2 linked regions of the Astyanax mexicanus genome follow. The protein of the gene in region 2 interacts with the protein of the main gene of each other region in a pairwise test. Links are inferred from orthologs where the notes say so. Each region holds a gene or a part of one and is shown on either strand. Other genes may lie near its edges.

Region 1 (7,016 bases), on a different chromosome or scaffold from region 2:
CTTCACCCACACACACACCCAGTCAGCACACAGAGGCTGACATGACTTTATTTGCTGCACTCTTAAAAACTATAAACTCTACCTCAGTAACTGCTGTGATTATATATGTTCTATATGTTACAGTATGTCACACATCTCCGCACCTTATCCCCACTATACACTTATTATACCGTATCGGTACTGCACTGTCCTGTCTTTAAATTGTCTTGTCCTTTGTATTTATTGTATTTATTGTTATTTAGTGTTATAATTTTATAATTTTATGTTGCACTGTCGTCACTCCTGCACTTTATGTTGTCTATTGCTTGTTGTTCTATGTTGCACCATGGTTCCGGAGGAACATAATTTCATCACACTGTGTACCTGTACTCAGATATAATGACAATAAGAGCCTCTTGACTTGAAAAAAAAAAAACTATTAAAGAACTGCAGGTCTCATTTACCTCAGTTAAGGTCAGTGTTAATGATTCAATAATAAAAAGGAGACTGGATGAAAATGGTCTCCAATTTCCAAGGCAATAAACACTGCTGACCATAAAGAATACAATGGCCCATCTTCCATTTGCCAAAAAACATCTTAAATGATTGCCAGGACAAAATGTGGAACTTTTTGGAAAGTGTGTGTCCCAATAAATTGGTGTAAAACTAACACATAATTTCTGAAAAAGTACATCATACTGAACGTAAAACATGGTGGTGGTAATGTGAGGATCTAGACAACTTGCTGTAATAGATGGAACCAGGAATTCTGCTGTTTACCAGACAATCCTGAAGGACACTGTCCAGCCATCTGTTTGTGACCTCAAGCTCAGGCGTACTTGGATTCTGCAGCAGGACAATGATCCAAAACACACAATTAAATCCACCTCTGAATGGCTTCACAAAAAAAACAATGGTTTTGAGTTAACCTAGTCAAAGTTCGTTTAGAGGCTGGTGGATGATCTTAAACAGGCCGTTCATGCTGGAAAAACTCTACATTGTGTCTAAATTACAACAATTCTGTAAAGAAGAGTGGATCAAAATGCCTCCACAGAGATGTGAAAGACTCGTTGCCAGTTATCAGTAAAGCTTGACTGCAGTTGTTGCCGCCAAGAGTGGAACAACCAAGTTATTAGGTTTAGGGGTAAACACTTTTTCACACAGGGCTAGATTGGTTTATATAGTTTTTACCTTTATTAAATAAAATTATCCTTACTTACTTTTACTTATCTTTGTCTGATATTAAAGTTTGTTTGATAATCAGAAAAATCACACTATGACCAAAAAAGCAAAAACAAAAAAAAATCTGTAGGGGGGCAAAATACTTTTTCACGCCACTGTACAGAACTATTATTAAACAGTTACCCATCCTAAATGGGTTTGGTGTAAGACGGTGAGTTTTAGAGAACCTCTGCAGTTACATTTTGTTCACAGTGGTGGTAAAAGATCCACCTCCCCAGACACTGTTACACATGTTCTGGGGAAAAGTCTAAAAAAACTTATTTTAAACCTATTCATGGAGAAGAAATGCATGTAAGTAAATAGTTGCATATTAAATCCTGTGACGATATCGATGGTGTTATATTTCTCTAAAGCAGCTCATTCTACTCAACACTCACCCCTCTGTGTACTCTGCCTGAAGGAGACCTAAATAAGCCTCCCACTTGTTGCCCACAATCTTCCCGCAGGTGAAGCATCGCACTGGGATAATCATCCTGAAGAGATGCTTTGTTAATCTGGAATCAGAATTAAATCAAATTAATTTTAGTGTTTAAAGTACTGGAAGCCACAGGTGATATCTGTAAGGAACTGGATTACTTTGGGCTGTTGGTCTCCATATTTTATTTATACTTTGTCAATTCCTTCAACATGTTCTCTGAACTAAAACAAACAGAATACATTTCTAAATAGACCAATCTGTAAAGGTAAACAGTCATACTAACAAGATTAAGAAAAATGTAAGAAAAAAAAGAAAATGTAAGAAAGATGCAGCTATATAATCTATATCTACCTTTCATTCTGTATGGAAATCTAAAGCACTGTTCAAAGCAACTCAACTTCTAATACTCTTAATTTCTAACACTACTACACACACCATAGTTCACTGAAATTTGAATAATGGAACATTTTTAATACAGTGCTATAATTAAAATATAACAGATTTGAATAATCAGTAGAACTGGGTTTTGCATTTTTATTGCTAACTTGGTTTAATACACTAAAAGCATTTTCATTTGTGTTATATTATTAAATTAGAATTCTCTGTGAGACACTAATAATTATAATAACATGCTTCTCGTGTGTTTGGGCAAGGTGAAGAAATCTTTTTTTTTTTTAATTAAAAAGGCTTTTTCCATTTAGACACAGCATCTATTTACTATTTCTTTATACACTTAATTATAACATGTTCTAAATTCAGTAAATTAACAGTAGCTAAATGTGTATAAAAATATGTCTCTCTCTAGTGAAGGAGACTTATGATTTTGCGCTTAAAATTAAGTTACAGAGCATGACCAAGTTAATTAATTAAGAACAAGTTTATAAATAAAAAGCTAATTAAGGAATTAAAGAGTAACTTAATGAATAAGAGATTAAATTAATCAATAAAATAGGAAATTAATACATGAAAGAATAAACCAATAAATTAGAGGAAATTAATGAATAAAAGAGTAAATAAATGAATTAAAGAATACAGTCATGAATTAATGATAGTACCTACATAGTTAACTTAGTTATCTGTGTAAGTACGGTATGTAGATTAGTACACAATACTTTAACGGATTCCGCATTTTACCCCAGTCCACAGTAAATCTCGCCGGGCTAAACCCGCGGAGTGAACTGCGCTGCAACGGACTGTGTTTAATACTGAATATAATTATCAGTAAAATGTTACAAATATTATAATAATTATAAACACTCACCCGCACTTTAGCCACCACGCTCAACACTCGGTGTTCCTCAGAAATATATCCGGACTCAAACACAACACCGGAAACACAACGTTCCTCAGCACTCAAAACGATTTTCTATCAAAATAAAAGTCTTTTTTCAGTTTTGAGTCTCTAAATGAACTACTAACTAATAAACTAGTTTGAGAAAATATAGAGTTTATAACAAAATAAAAGCTTATTGAAACAGATAAACGCATTAATCAATGAGTGTAACAAAAGAAAACGTAAGAAACTGAACTAAAACTAGTGTAGCTGGAAAATATATTGTAACTCAGAACAAATAACTCTAATATCAGTGGAATTCATACATCTGTAATATCTACATTTTATTCTAGGCAAATTATGTATATATAAATAATGTAAAAATATAATCTGACCTTAAAACTGAGAATATGTTGATTTGTTGATGTAAATTGTGTATGAAACAGAAAAAGGTACAACACTTTAAAGCAAAGCAAAAGTTTTAACGATGATTTTTGTTCATCTGTTTGTATGAAATATGAGCGAATAACGTAAGAATCATTCCTAAATTAAAAATTGAATGATACTGAATGCAAACTCTTTATTCTTAATGCTGCAAAGCACTGTAAAATCATATAGCACACTGGCCCTAGACCACTGGCCCCCGTGTTGAAATGGTCTAGAACCGACACAGGATATAATATTCTTACTATATTGCTTTAGAGCTCTAGAGACATACTAACATTTTTAATAATAATGGATTCATTAGTATAAGTGCATCATTAATAATTTATTACTGAATGTGTTCTGCTGCTGTGAGCTACACTCAGATAATTCAAAACAGACAGATATATTCTAGTAATAGAATTAGTGTGTGATTTCTGTAGAACTGATTGTATAATTTTTGACTGACGTCAGATACTTGCGGTAAAAAGTAGATGAGGATTTAATTCTCAAGAGGGCAATACACAAAAATATAAACCATAAGAGAATGCTGGATAAACAGAGGCAATACACAAAAAAACAACACAATAAACAGTCTTACATACACATGGAAATTAACAGAAGACAACAGTTATAGAATTCTGCAGAGCATGAAAAAGAGATTTTTTCATTTGCTGGGAATTGTAGTTCTAGTGAAAAGCATGTCCCGAGATGGGAATAGAAAAGGCCAATCTAGGAACTATCAGGTGTGAAATATAGACAAAGAGAATTCTACTGATGTTACAAGATACACCAGTAAATGGGCTAGGTCCCAAAAATCGTCCCTATAGCGCTACATGTTATTGGACTGGTGGGTTTAAGTGCAGGATGCAGGGAGTAATTTGTGACGGGTCTGTAAACGCTGGCTTGTACACAGCATTGAGTGAGGAGCAGTGCTGCAAATGAACTAAATCAACAGAAAATGTATGGCCTTGCAACAAACATTATGTTCAGGACTTTTTTTTTTTACTTCATAATTATTAGTTACACAAAAAACAGTCTTATGCTTCAGCACATCATTCAGTGTTCAATTTAGTCAGGCAGCCTCTTCATAAACATTTACAAATGGTTTGTAAAGTTTATATATCTTTTATGAAAACTGGTATACCCAAAGAACACAGGAAAGAACATTTAGACCTTCACACACAGATTTGCAGACAGAGAAGAGTCCACATTTACTTTCATACAACTGAAATTATTAGTTCAGTTACTTTATCAGACTGTGTAAATGTCACTCTTAAACTGCCAACCAGCTCCTTAACTACAGTCTCTGCTTCTAAAACTAGTGCAGAACTTGGCACCAACAAAACTAGCATGTTTCAACTTTTTACCACTTAGCTATTTAACTAGAAAATCACTGGTAATGAAAGGGTTGTTGTGCATTTGGAATTACTAATTATTAGCAACATAATTATTTTTGAAACTCCAGCACACTGTGCATGCCTCTTATACCTATTGAAATATCACCATAATGACTTATCCAGCTTGATAGCTAGTTAACAATCTTACTTATCTAACAACCACCCTTCTCCACACACTAAACTAGCTAGCTAATTCACTAGGAAAGTGTTTTCACTAGCACACTAGCTAACTCGGTGTGTGGAAGAGGGTGGTGGTTGGATAAGTTAGCTAACCGACCTAGATTAGTAATTTATCCAACCACCTTCCACTTTCACACACTAAATTAACTCTGCTAATTTATCCACTAATCACCATATATATATAGAGATATATTTCTGCCTGTCTCTGCCATAGTATCAGTTTCCTAAAATCCCACAATGCACTGCGTTGTTCATGTCTGCTGACATCACGATTCTATTCTCTATTAGCACGCTAGCCAAATGGTTTAGCTAGCTAAGTAACCTAGGCTGGGTAAGGTAGTGTTAGCAAAATAATTTAACTAGTTAATTTATCCAGTCTTCAACCTCTTACACACAACAAATTAGCACGCTAGCCAAATGCTTTAGCTAGCTAGTTAACCTAGATTAGCTAGCATTAGCAAAGTAACTAGTTAATTTATCCAGCTGGGAGTGAGAACCTCTGCGAACTTCACTTATTTGGAAGCAAAAAGCTATACCAGTGACCTCTACCCTGTTATACTGACTAAAACATGCGTCAATAATCGACAATAGAACTCGTCTTGAAACAAACAAACAAAGAGTCAAAAGCCTGATATTATGTTCAACAGTGAATGCGCTAGGTAAGCTAGTTACCTAATTAGCATTAGCTATATGCAAACCATGCCCATGTACATATTTCCCCAATAATACAACATGTAGTGGATAACTAGCTTGTTTAAAGTAACTAACGCTTTAACCACGAACCTGCACACTGCTACTTTGTAAACTGCTAGATAGCGCTACAGTTTATTATTAGGGCTGAGCAGCTGAGCAGTAAATCTAGCTAGACTTAGCTAACTTTGCTTGAACAGAGGGGTTAGCACTGGCTACATGTGTTAATAATTAACCTGCTACAAGAGCCAGCCTGTGCCAGAAGGTGAAAATCATCGTTATACTCGAGCACACTGAGTACAGATCTTAATATAGAACTAATACTTACATACATCAACTTTTGAGCTCATACACAGAAACATGTTAACAAATCTTACCTTTAAAACAGCAGCTCAACTCCACAACAAGTGCACAGGGGACCGATAGTATCTGAGTATATGTTCTTATACATTTTTAAGTTTTAGTTGTTACTGTTTACAAATGAGTAAAATAGGTAGAATTTTCCCATTGTAATTTATTTTACTTTCTGACTAATACATTTGAGTATTTTTCAAACACTGTTGTGGGAAATCTTACGAAGAAACCTTGTTTACCTTGAAATATATTGACAAACACCTAACAATCATGATTACTTACCATCTGTGAAAACCTTGTATTTTATATGCATTAACCAATACTTACACCACATTTGATCATTTTATTATTCACATATTATTCACACATTTATACTAACACTATATTTGATCATTTTATCGCTCACAGTATATTTTTTACACATTTATATAGAAAACTAACCTCTAAACCACACATATAGTAAGACATTGTTTTTCACAAGCATGTGACTGACACAGACCTTAGTCTGACAAACTAACCCACATGATACATAACATAAGGGAGTTTTTGCTAACGTATGGGAACCTATTATATGGCTGACTAATCACGCGCCACTGACGCCTCACTGAACCACATTGTGTGATTGCATGTTTTCTAACTAACAGCTACAAAATCAGCAGATAGTGCATTCTGCATGGCCTTGCTTAAATACAAAAGACGTTTGACAAACAGTACAGTCTTTCTCTCTCTGTGCGCGTGAAGGCCTTCACCTGTCAAGTGAGGGAGGACATGTGCGCAGGGAGTGAAACACTGTCTAATTACTGAACAAAGCCGTGCTGTTTCTCCAAGGCCAAAACACCAGCAAATCTTGAGCCATCAGCGAATCTTCAGCCCTAACAACATAACACCATGCATGCTGACATAAGATAATTTCAGCAACGCCTCATCACCAGGTGTTCACGTCATTTTGGGTTTAAAACATGGGAGTCAGATGACGGGGGTTCAGAGCATATCGGGGAACGGTCAACGACCGCTCATTTGTGTTCTCCTGGTACCAGCTGTTATAATAAATACTTGT
Region 2 (7,776 bases):
TCTTTCGTTTTTTTCTTAGGGCAAAAAGTTGTATTTCAAAACGTATTTTTGTATGTAATGTATTCTGCCTCCTTTAAACTGAGACCATAAAATTTCACAAAACCCCATCAACAGTGTGTTTGTCTTTACTGCTCATCTGTTTATAGAACTCTGTAAATTCCATTGTGTTGCATTGGAGAGTATATTTCCCCATAGGAAGTTTGGTGGAATAATACTTTTCTGCTCCTGCGCTGGACAGTGGGCCGAAGGAAACCTCAGGCACTCTGCCTCTGAGAGGAAAAGACAAGCTGTACTTAATCTGGCAGCGTGATTTAACCATTAAAACCCTTTCACATGGTGCAAGAAGTTTGAGGTTGTGGTTACTGGAAGTGAAGGAAGGAGGAGAAAAGGATGGGTAAATCCATGTATTACTTTGAAATGAGAATAGTAGTTAGTGTTTAGTTTATTTCTTAGGTTAAAAGTAATAAATTAAATACTGAATATGTTTTTTTTTCTTTTTCGTGTTCGGGAGAAAAGGGGGAAAAATAGTTTTCAGTTAAAGCTACTTGTTTGAGGACAAACCATCGCTCCACTTGATTGTTGTATTTGTTTATTGGCTGAGAAAAAGGTTCTGCCTTGATTTTGACTATGTAGCTGTAGTTCTCTAGGTGTGTAAGTGTTTAAAGTCGCCAATTTTCATTTTCTTTACCTGACCAGTCCGCTGGATCTTTATTACTTCCTTGTTCGTGTTTGCTTTCTGGGAGATTCCCATTCGCCAGTGTGCGCAAGTGACGTGGCGAGGGGATTCCCCTTTCTTATGACGGCGGGTAAGAGCAGTGATCCAGTCCCCCACAGCCGGTCCACACCTACTACTACAGCCCCCTCTAGACCGCTCAATTAGCGAATAGCCTGGATGGATTCGGGTACCGCAATGTGAAATGTAGCACAGGAGGTGATTGCACACATGGCTCGTGCACTGTCGGGTGAAAAATGCTCTTCAGATATATTCTTGCTTTTTTGATTCAAGAGGCTTTTATTATCATTTCATCTAAGTTCAAAGTGAAATGAACCAAGATGCAGCATGGAACAAACAGTACTGTATAGACGACAAAAATGCAAACGTGCAACAATAAAAGAGCACCATTTTAAAATGGTGCACTTTTATTGTAGATGTACATTCTGAGGTACAGCATATAATTAAGGTGCAGCTGCTGATTACACTAGAGGTAGGGAGGTAACAGCTTAATATTAAACTAGAAAGTTCTAGTAAATCGCCTAGACCCTCAGTTGATCAAATCATTTGATTTTACCCCACTCGCATAACGGCCTACTTAAGCTACTTTATTATCACCTCAAGACTATTGTAAAAGCGTTCCAAGATGGAGCCATCTTTAATAAAGGCTATAAATTTATGAATATTGCGTTGCTGTTGTGTTTTATTATTGAGTCTGCATTTTAGTCAGCAACATAGCTAAGGCCATAAAGCTAGATAGAAATGCTGTTCAGTTCGTGGCTGTTATAATTAAATTACAACTTTTTTTTCTGTCGTTTCAATAAATATATATTTATTTATTTTATATATGTTTAGGATTATTTCTGCTTGGTTCTGGTGCTCAACTCTATGAAAAATCTCCTCTAATTGCTCTTTTTCAAAATAATAACAAACCTTTTTTTTTGTGTGTGTGTGTGTGTTTACATGGGGAAAAAATCTATTATTTTAGGAAGATATATTAAAAGAAAGAAAGTAATGCAAACTCTGCATCCTAAAAGGCAAAGTGCATACAAAAAAATAAAATGTTCATTTTTGGTTTAATTACATCTTTTAATGTTGTTGAAGAAAAAATGCCAAATTGCCATTGGTTAATGTTGAAAGTTCTACATTAAATCACCATTCATTTAAAGGTAATAACAAATAATTGTTATAAATATTTAATGTAAATTTAAAGTGTTTAAGTAAGTTTAATGTAAACAATACATATTAAACCAAAATGTTGGCTCAATATGAAATTAATGTGCACAAATATCAAATCAATTGTTGGAGGTCCACATTGTTTGGAAGAAAATATGAAGATTAATCCAATGTTCATTTGCCCTCTCGGTTACAGTCTATGAAAAATAAATGTATAAATCTGATTATTAACTCATTTTTAACAGCCCTGCATCTAATCCTCGTTGCCATTATTGTAGTGTTGTCAGATAAATATGTACTTTGACATTTTTATTAAATAAATAATTAACGTTACTTATAAGTATCCTTACAAAACACACTTGATGAATACATAAAGCACATTAAAAAAAGAATCATTTTTTCAGACATATTTAGGCAACTTGTTAGAACTTACATCATGTGCTGTATGTCATCTAGCCAGTCCATCTCTCTCTCTCCCCTGAAGTCTTGTACAAAACCTACATTTGAAAGTTTTACCCATAGACCTGTACTTATATATAAGTATTTATACAAAATCTGTGGTTTCACCCTAATTGTGGCTCAAGCTCCATTTTGATTTTAAATGTTTTACATGAAATTGTTAAATTACCTGAAACAGTAAGTCATTTCCAGCAACCGATAATAGACATTGTTGTCAAATCCTTGATTCATGTGTTCATTATTGGATCCTGTATTATATTACTGTGCATGTTCTCAAATTTCTTATGACCCATACTGCATATGCGCTTTCACAGGCCCTGCTTAAACCAGTATCTGAGTTCAAGTGGCATTTCAATTGTTCTTGACACTGAATGTAATCACAAAATATTCCCAGCAGTGTGTTAACTTGTCCCAAGTGTTAAACCACCCCACATCCATATACAGGATATTCCTGCAGCAAAGAAGGGGCACACATCCTACTAGCAAATCTTTAAGAAACAGAGCAGCACTCTTGAAGATCACTCAAATGTTCTTGGGAAAATATGGTATGAAAAGTGTAGTTGCTCATATGTTCTGAGGAAAAGTGACCAGCAAAGGTCCAAACTCATTAAACAGTGTTGGTTAGTATGGCATGGCACAGACAGTCAAGGCCCTTTTGTAAGTATGTAAGGATAATGCGTGGATAACTGCAGTTCAGATTTGATCGGTTCCTCACACATAGGCCAACAATTGAATCTGCAAAACACAAACATTAGTAGTGAGTAAATGGTATATATTGTCGTATACATAAATCAACTGTAAGCCTTCACCCTTTGGCAAGCTTTCTGACAGTCTGTAAACATGATTTAACCATACTGATCATTCCCAAATGAAAGGAGCAGGAGCAAACAATAGGTTGTGTGAATGTAACCAAGAACTAACAATAGGGAGAATATAACACTGTTAGAAAACAAAAGAATGCACAGTTGTGTGTTTTATTAATAAAAAAAGTTGTTCTACCCAAAATTACTATAATAAAAAAATCTGACACAGAATAGGTATTATTTGGGTGGTGGGTCATTCTCGGCATTGCAGTGACAATGGACAGCATCCTTTGAATACTAAATAAGATCTCCAGCGGCACTGCTGTGTCTGATTCACTTGTACAACTGTGACACACACTAATACTCCACCATAAGGTCAGTGTCACTGCACTGCTGAGAATGTCTTAATATGTTGTGGCCACAAGTTTTTGTTATTTTTTTTACATGATGTCACTGTAAGGGGCGCCATAGTAAAACATTTGTATGACATTAGAATAATTATAAAAATATATAAATACACAATAGTTAGTAATCAGATATGTTGTTGGTCAGTAAAGTTATTTATAGGCTGAGTATCAAATTATTTAAAAGAATTAGCTTTGCTGAAGAACTATTTGGTTGGTTTGGTTGGTCCTTCAGTGAAGGACAAATTGGATAAATTAGGACGTGGAGGATAACTGTAAATATTCAAGTCTAGTCAAATGAAGTAGTTTTATTGTCAAAACTGCATTTGTACAGGACATACAAAGAATTGAAATTACATCACTCTCCTTCCCAAAGTTACAACAAGTAAAGAAAGTACAGAAAATAAGAATATAAATATAACAGAATGAGGGGCATTAGATGTACAATACAACAAGGGCACAAATACGTATGTGAGACAAAAGACACAAGACAATAGTGCAATAGTGATGGGGAGGGGGGGTTAACTAGGGATTGATGATACAGTCATATGAAAAGTTTGATTCTGATTAAGATTAATAGGGGTGCCCAACCTTTTTCATTTGACTGTATGTATAAACATAACCATTATAACAGTAGTGCAAATGTAGAGAAAAAAAAATTAAAAACCTAAGACTGGTAAAGTGAACGAGTGCATACAGTTCTTCTAAAAAATGCACAGTTGTAGGGGGAATTGAAGTTGTTTAAATTATTTTTTACAATTAAATTATTTTTGAAATTAAAATTATCATATTAAAATTATTAGGAATTAAAATTGTTAGGCCTTCTCGTGGTTTATTTAAACCCAGCTTACCTATCAGATAAATAGCTTTATAGACAATTTTGTTTAGTTCTCATCATTTTTTAATTATTTAGATCTTTATCAATGGACCAATAGAAAAATAAAATATTTTTTATTGATTTCTACTGATTTTTTCAAGCCTTTAAAAGTTTTAAGCTTTTACGTTGCCTTTTTTGGAGAAACGTTATGCGTTTTGTGTGATAGCGATAAAACAAATACATTTTAATCAAAATAAAATCCATTTTTTTAATGAAGTGCTACGTATAGTCTCCTGTGTGTGTGATTGGCTATGGACGTGCGGGGGGGGCGGAGCCAGGCGGCGGGGGGAATTCCCAAGCGCCCTTCACCTCTGGAGTAACACTTCACTCATTCACTTCTGAACATTCACACACACTCACGTACACACACTGATCGCTGCAGCAAGGGGCTCCACTAGAATGGATGGTGAGTTACAAGCTATTAATTAATTCACGCCTTTTAACAGCTTTCCTAGAATAATTATAATATCTGTGATATATATTTATATATAATAGGAGTACACAATCATCCAGACTGAGAGCTGTGACTAGTATAGCCTGCTGTTTTTGTTTGGTTAATGGATGTGATATGGAATTACATGAAGGTGTTAAACAGTTTTCAGTCAGAAGGTTAATGGATGGGGCTAGATTAAGATTTCTATGTGTTTACGTGTTTGATTCTAGTAATTGTTTTGTTGCTAGATAGCTTGTTACTTGTTGTAACTTGAATAACCAGTTCTCATGTGTTAAATTACTGATTGCTGCTTGTTTCACAATGTTTCAGAGGGAGTGTCGACTAGAAACAGTATGAAAACCAATCAGTGCATATGTTGTGTATATTATGTTTATAAATATAACTTCCTGACAAATTATATTAAAAATAAAAAATAAATAAATACATGAATAAATAATAATAGTAATAATATTTGATGGTAGAAAGTAAGCTGCCATAAAGATTTGACTAAAATCCATGACGAATAGGCTAGTCTAAATCTGCACCAGGAAATCAAAATGAGGAACCTCAGACTACTGGTTTTGACTTCAAGTTCCCATTTGCAGTATTGTCAGCAAATGCCTTGATTTTGCACTTGATTTTTCAGCTTATTGTTATTATATAATGTCCTGAAATATTTTGTCCTCTTTTTTTTGCACAGCTCATTTTCCCCCAATGAACAGTAAGTTCATATCATTCTTTTTAAAAAAGTGTAAAGCTTTTCTGTACAGCCAGCATGCTTATAACTATCTTATAACTATAACTGCCTTTATAACTTTCTTTTCTTTGTCTGCTTCCTTAATTTCTTTATTTCTTTTTTTTGTTCTACCACGGTTTGGGTTGCTTGGTTAAGGTAGTAGAGTAGTAGAGTGACAGCCACTTCCTGTCTATATGTGTGTGTGTGTGTGTGTGTTAGATAGCAACATGCAGAGCAGGTAGAGCAGAAGTGAGTACGTGAGGTCAGCTCAGGTAGAATATATCGCTGTACAACACAGTTATAAGGACTATATAAGGTCTGTGTGTATATACGTAGCTATACGCAGCTATACACAGAGCAGGAAGAGCAGAAGTGAGTGAGTGAGTGCTTGAGGTTAGCTCCTAGGTAGAAGATATTGCACAGATATTACACACAGCTATAAGGAGGCTGTCTGTGTGTAATTTATTCAGATCAAATCATTCTCATCCTCGTAAGTACAGTCTTAGAATTGTACAGGCCTGAAATGTGCTGAAATGTGAGTACAGGCAGTCACAAGGCAGACTGTCTTATTTAGACATCTGCACATCTGTATGACGAGAGGAACCTTACAACAGGAGCCGTGAGAGCCCTGAGTGTCATCTCGTGCCACACACAGCTGTGTAGTCTGAACAGGTGTTTAACAGAGCTTCGACAATCATAATCATCCTTTGTGGTCCACTGTGGTCCACTGAGATGGGAGCACTTGTGAGAAATACACTAGCAGGTGTAGCCGAAGGGGAAATTATTTGATGTGAGTTGTGTGTTGGCAGTGGTTTGAGCAGATTCTGAGGAATGTGCTGTGGTCTGCAGATGTTTAGATGTTTACAATACAGCGGGTCTCCGAACAACCTCAACATTTCTTCTAATCAATATTATACTGTCTGCCTGCTGTCTGCTTATCTGACTTGATGCTTGCTTAAAACCTGTCCATAATTAACTATATATCATAATCTTTGCCCTTATTCATTTTTTTTTTACATAAAAAATAAAATGTTTTAGTTCGATGTAGATTTCTTTATTAGTCAAGGCACTTAAAGGTACAATAAGTAGTTTTTCTGAAAAAGACATGTTAACAAAAACAATGTTTACCAGCCATAGGGTCTGCATCACATCAGCTTAAAATAAAGCAAACAAACATGTAGCAAAATTCTACATATTGCACCTTTAATAATAATTATAATAATGTAACTTACACAATAGAAAAGAACATAATGAAAAAGAAAAACAGATTACTCGCAAAAAGGAATATGGGGTGATATGTGGCTATTCATATGGATGGATCAGTTAGTTTCTGTGCCTTCTAAAATTAGCTGATTAAAACTGTTGTATATTAATTCAGTCAATACTCACTGCCTGACTCCCGTTCTCTTTCTTACCCTGTCTTTCATTAGTGGGAGAGCCCTGTGTTCAGATCTTTGAGCAGCCCAAACAAAGAGGCATGCGCTTCAGGTATAAATGTGAGGGCCGCTCAGCAGGCAGTATACCTGGAGAGAAAAGCTCTGATAATAACAGGACATACCCAAGCATTCAGGTACAGATTATTATTATTTTTGTTTTAAATAAAGATTTCTCCAATACATTACTTCACGATTTCTCTGTATATTGACCATTTTTCTAACTAACTACTAAATACTTTCTTTATTTCTTGTCAGATTTTGAATAACTGTAGAAAAGGAAAAGTGCGTGTGTCTTTGGTAACCAAAAACGAGCCCTACAGGCCACACCCACACGACCTGGTGGGAAAAGACTGTAAGGATGGCTACTACGAGGCAGAGTTTGGACCTGAACGCAGGGTGATTGCGTAAGTCAGCACTAGCTGTTAGCTAACTCATGAAGGCTGAATTAAAACATGCTGAATCGTAATGTTTTATACATTATATTTACTTTACACTCAGATGAAATTGTACTATAAATGAAGGAGTCAGTAGACAATGTTTAAAAAAAATCTGTTAACTAAAAAGATTCACAGTTTTTTTCTTTTTAAATCTCCTTTTGTCTTGTTGCCATTTTTTCCTAATGAAGTTAAAGCATTACTGAGCTCTACATCAAAGTCATTCCTGTCTGCCTCTTCTCTTTGTGGAGCTTAATGTCAGAATACCATACACCCACATATCCACACCCACACACAAACACTATG

What was found.
Region 1: the proteins of rel (region 2) and polr2l interact in binary tests that used the Homo sapiens proteins (3 or more experiments, as listed by UniProt). The two-hybrid records come from large-scale screens. The link is inferred for Astyanax mexicanus from reciprocal best matches to the Homo sapiens genes REL and POLR2L.

What each region holds. Positions count from the first base shown.
Region 1 is NC_064423.1:9,009,373-9,016,388, forward strand, and holds the start of polr2l (DNA-directed RNA polymerases I, II, and III subunit RPABC5), read right to left. Parts: upstream 3,006-7,016; 5' UTR 2,901-3,005; intron 1,716-2,900; 5' UTR 1,694-1,715; coding exon 1,599-1,693; intron 1-1,598. UniProt on the Homo sapiens protein: DNA-dependent RNA polymerase catalyzes the transcription of DNA into RNA using the four ribonucleoside triphosphates as substrates.
Region 2 is NC_064414.1:37,478,591-37,486,366, forward strand, and holds the start of rel (proto-oncogene c-Rel), read left to right. Parts: upstream 1-4,751; 5' UTR 4,752-4,830; coding exon 4,831-4,837; intron 4,838-5,564; coding exon 5,565-5,585; intron 5,586-7,030; coding exon 7,031-7,170; intron 7,171-7,291; coding exon 7,292-7,440; intron 7,441-7,776. UniProt on the Homo sapiens protein: Proto-oncogene that may play a role in differentiation and lymphopoiesis.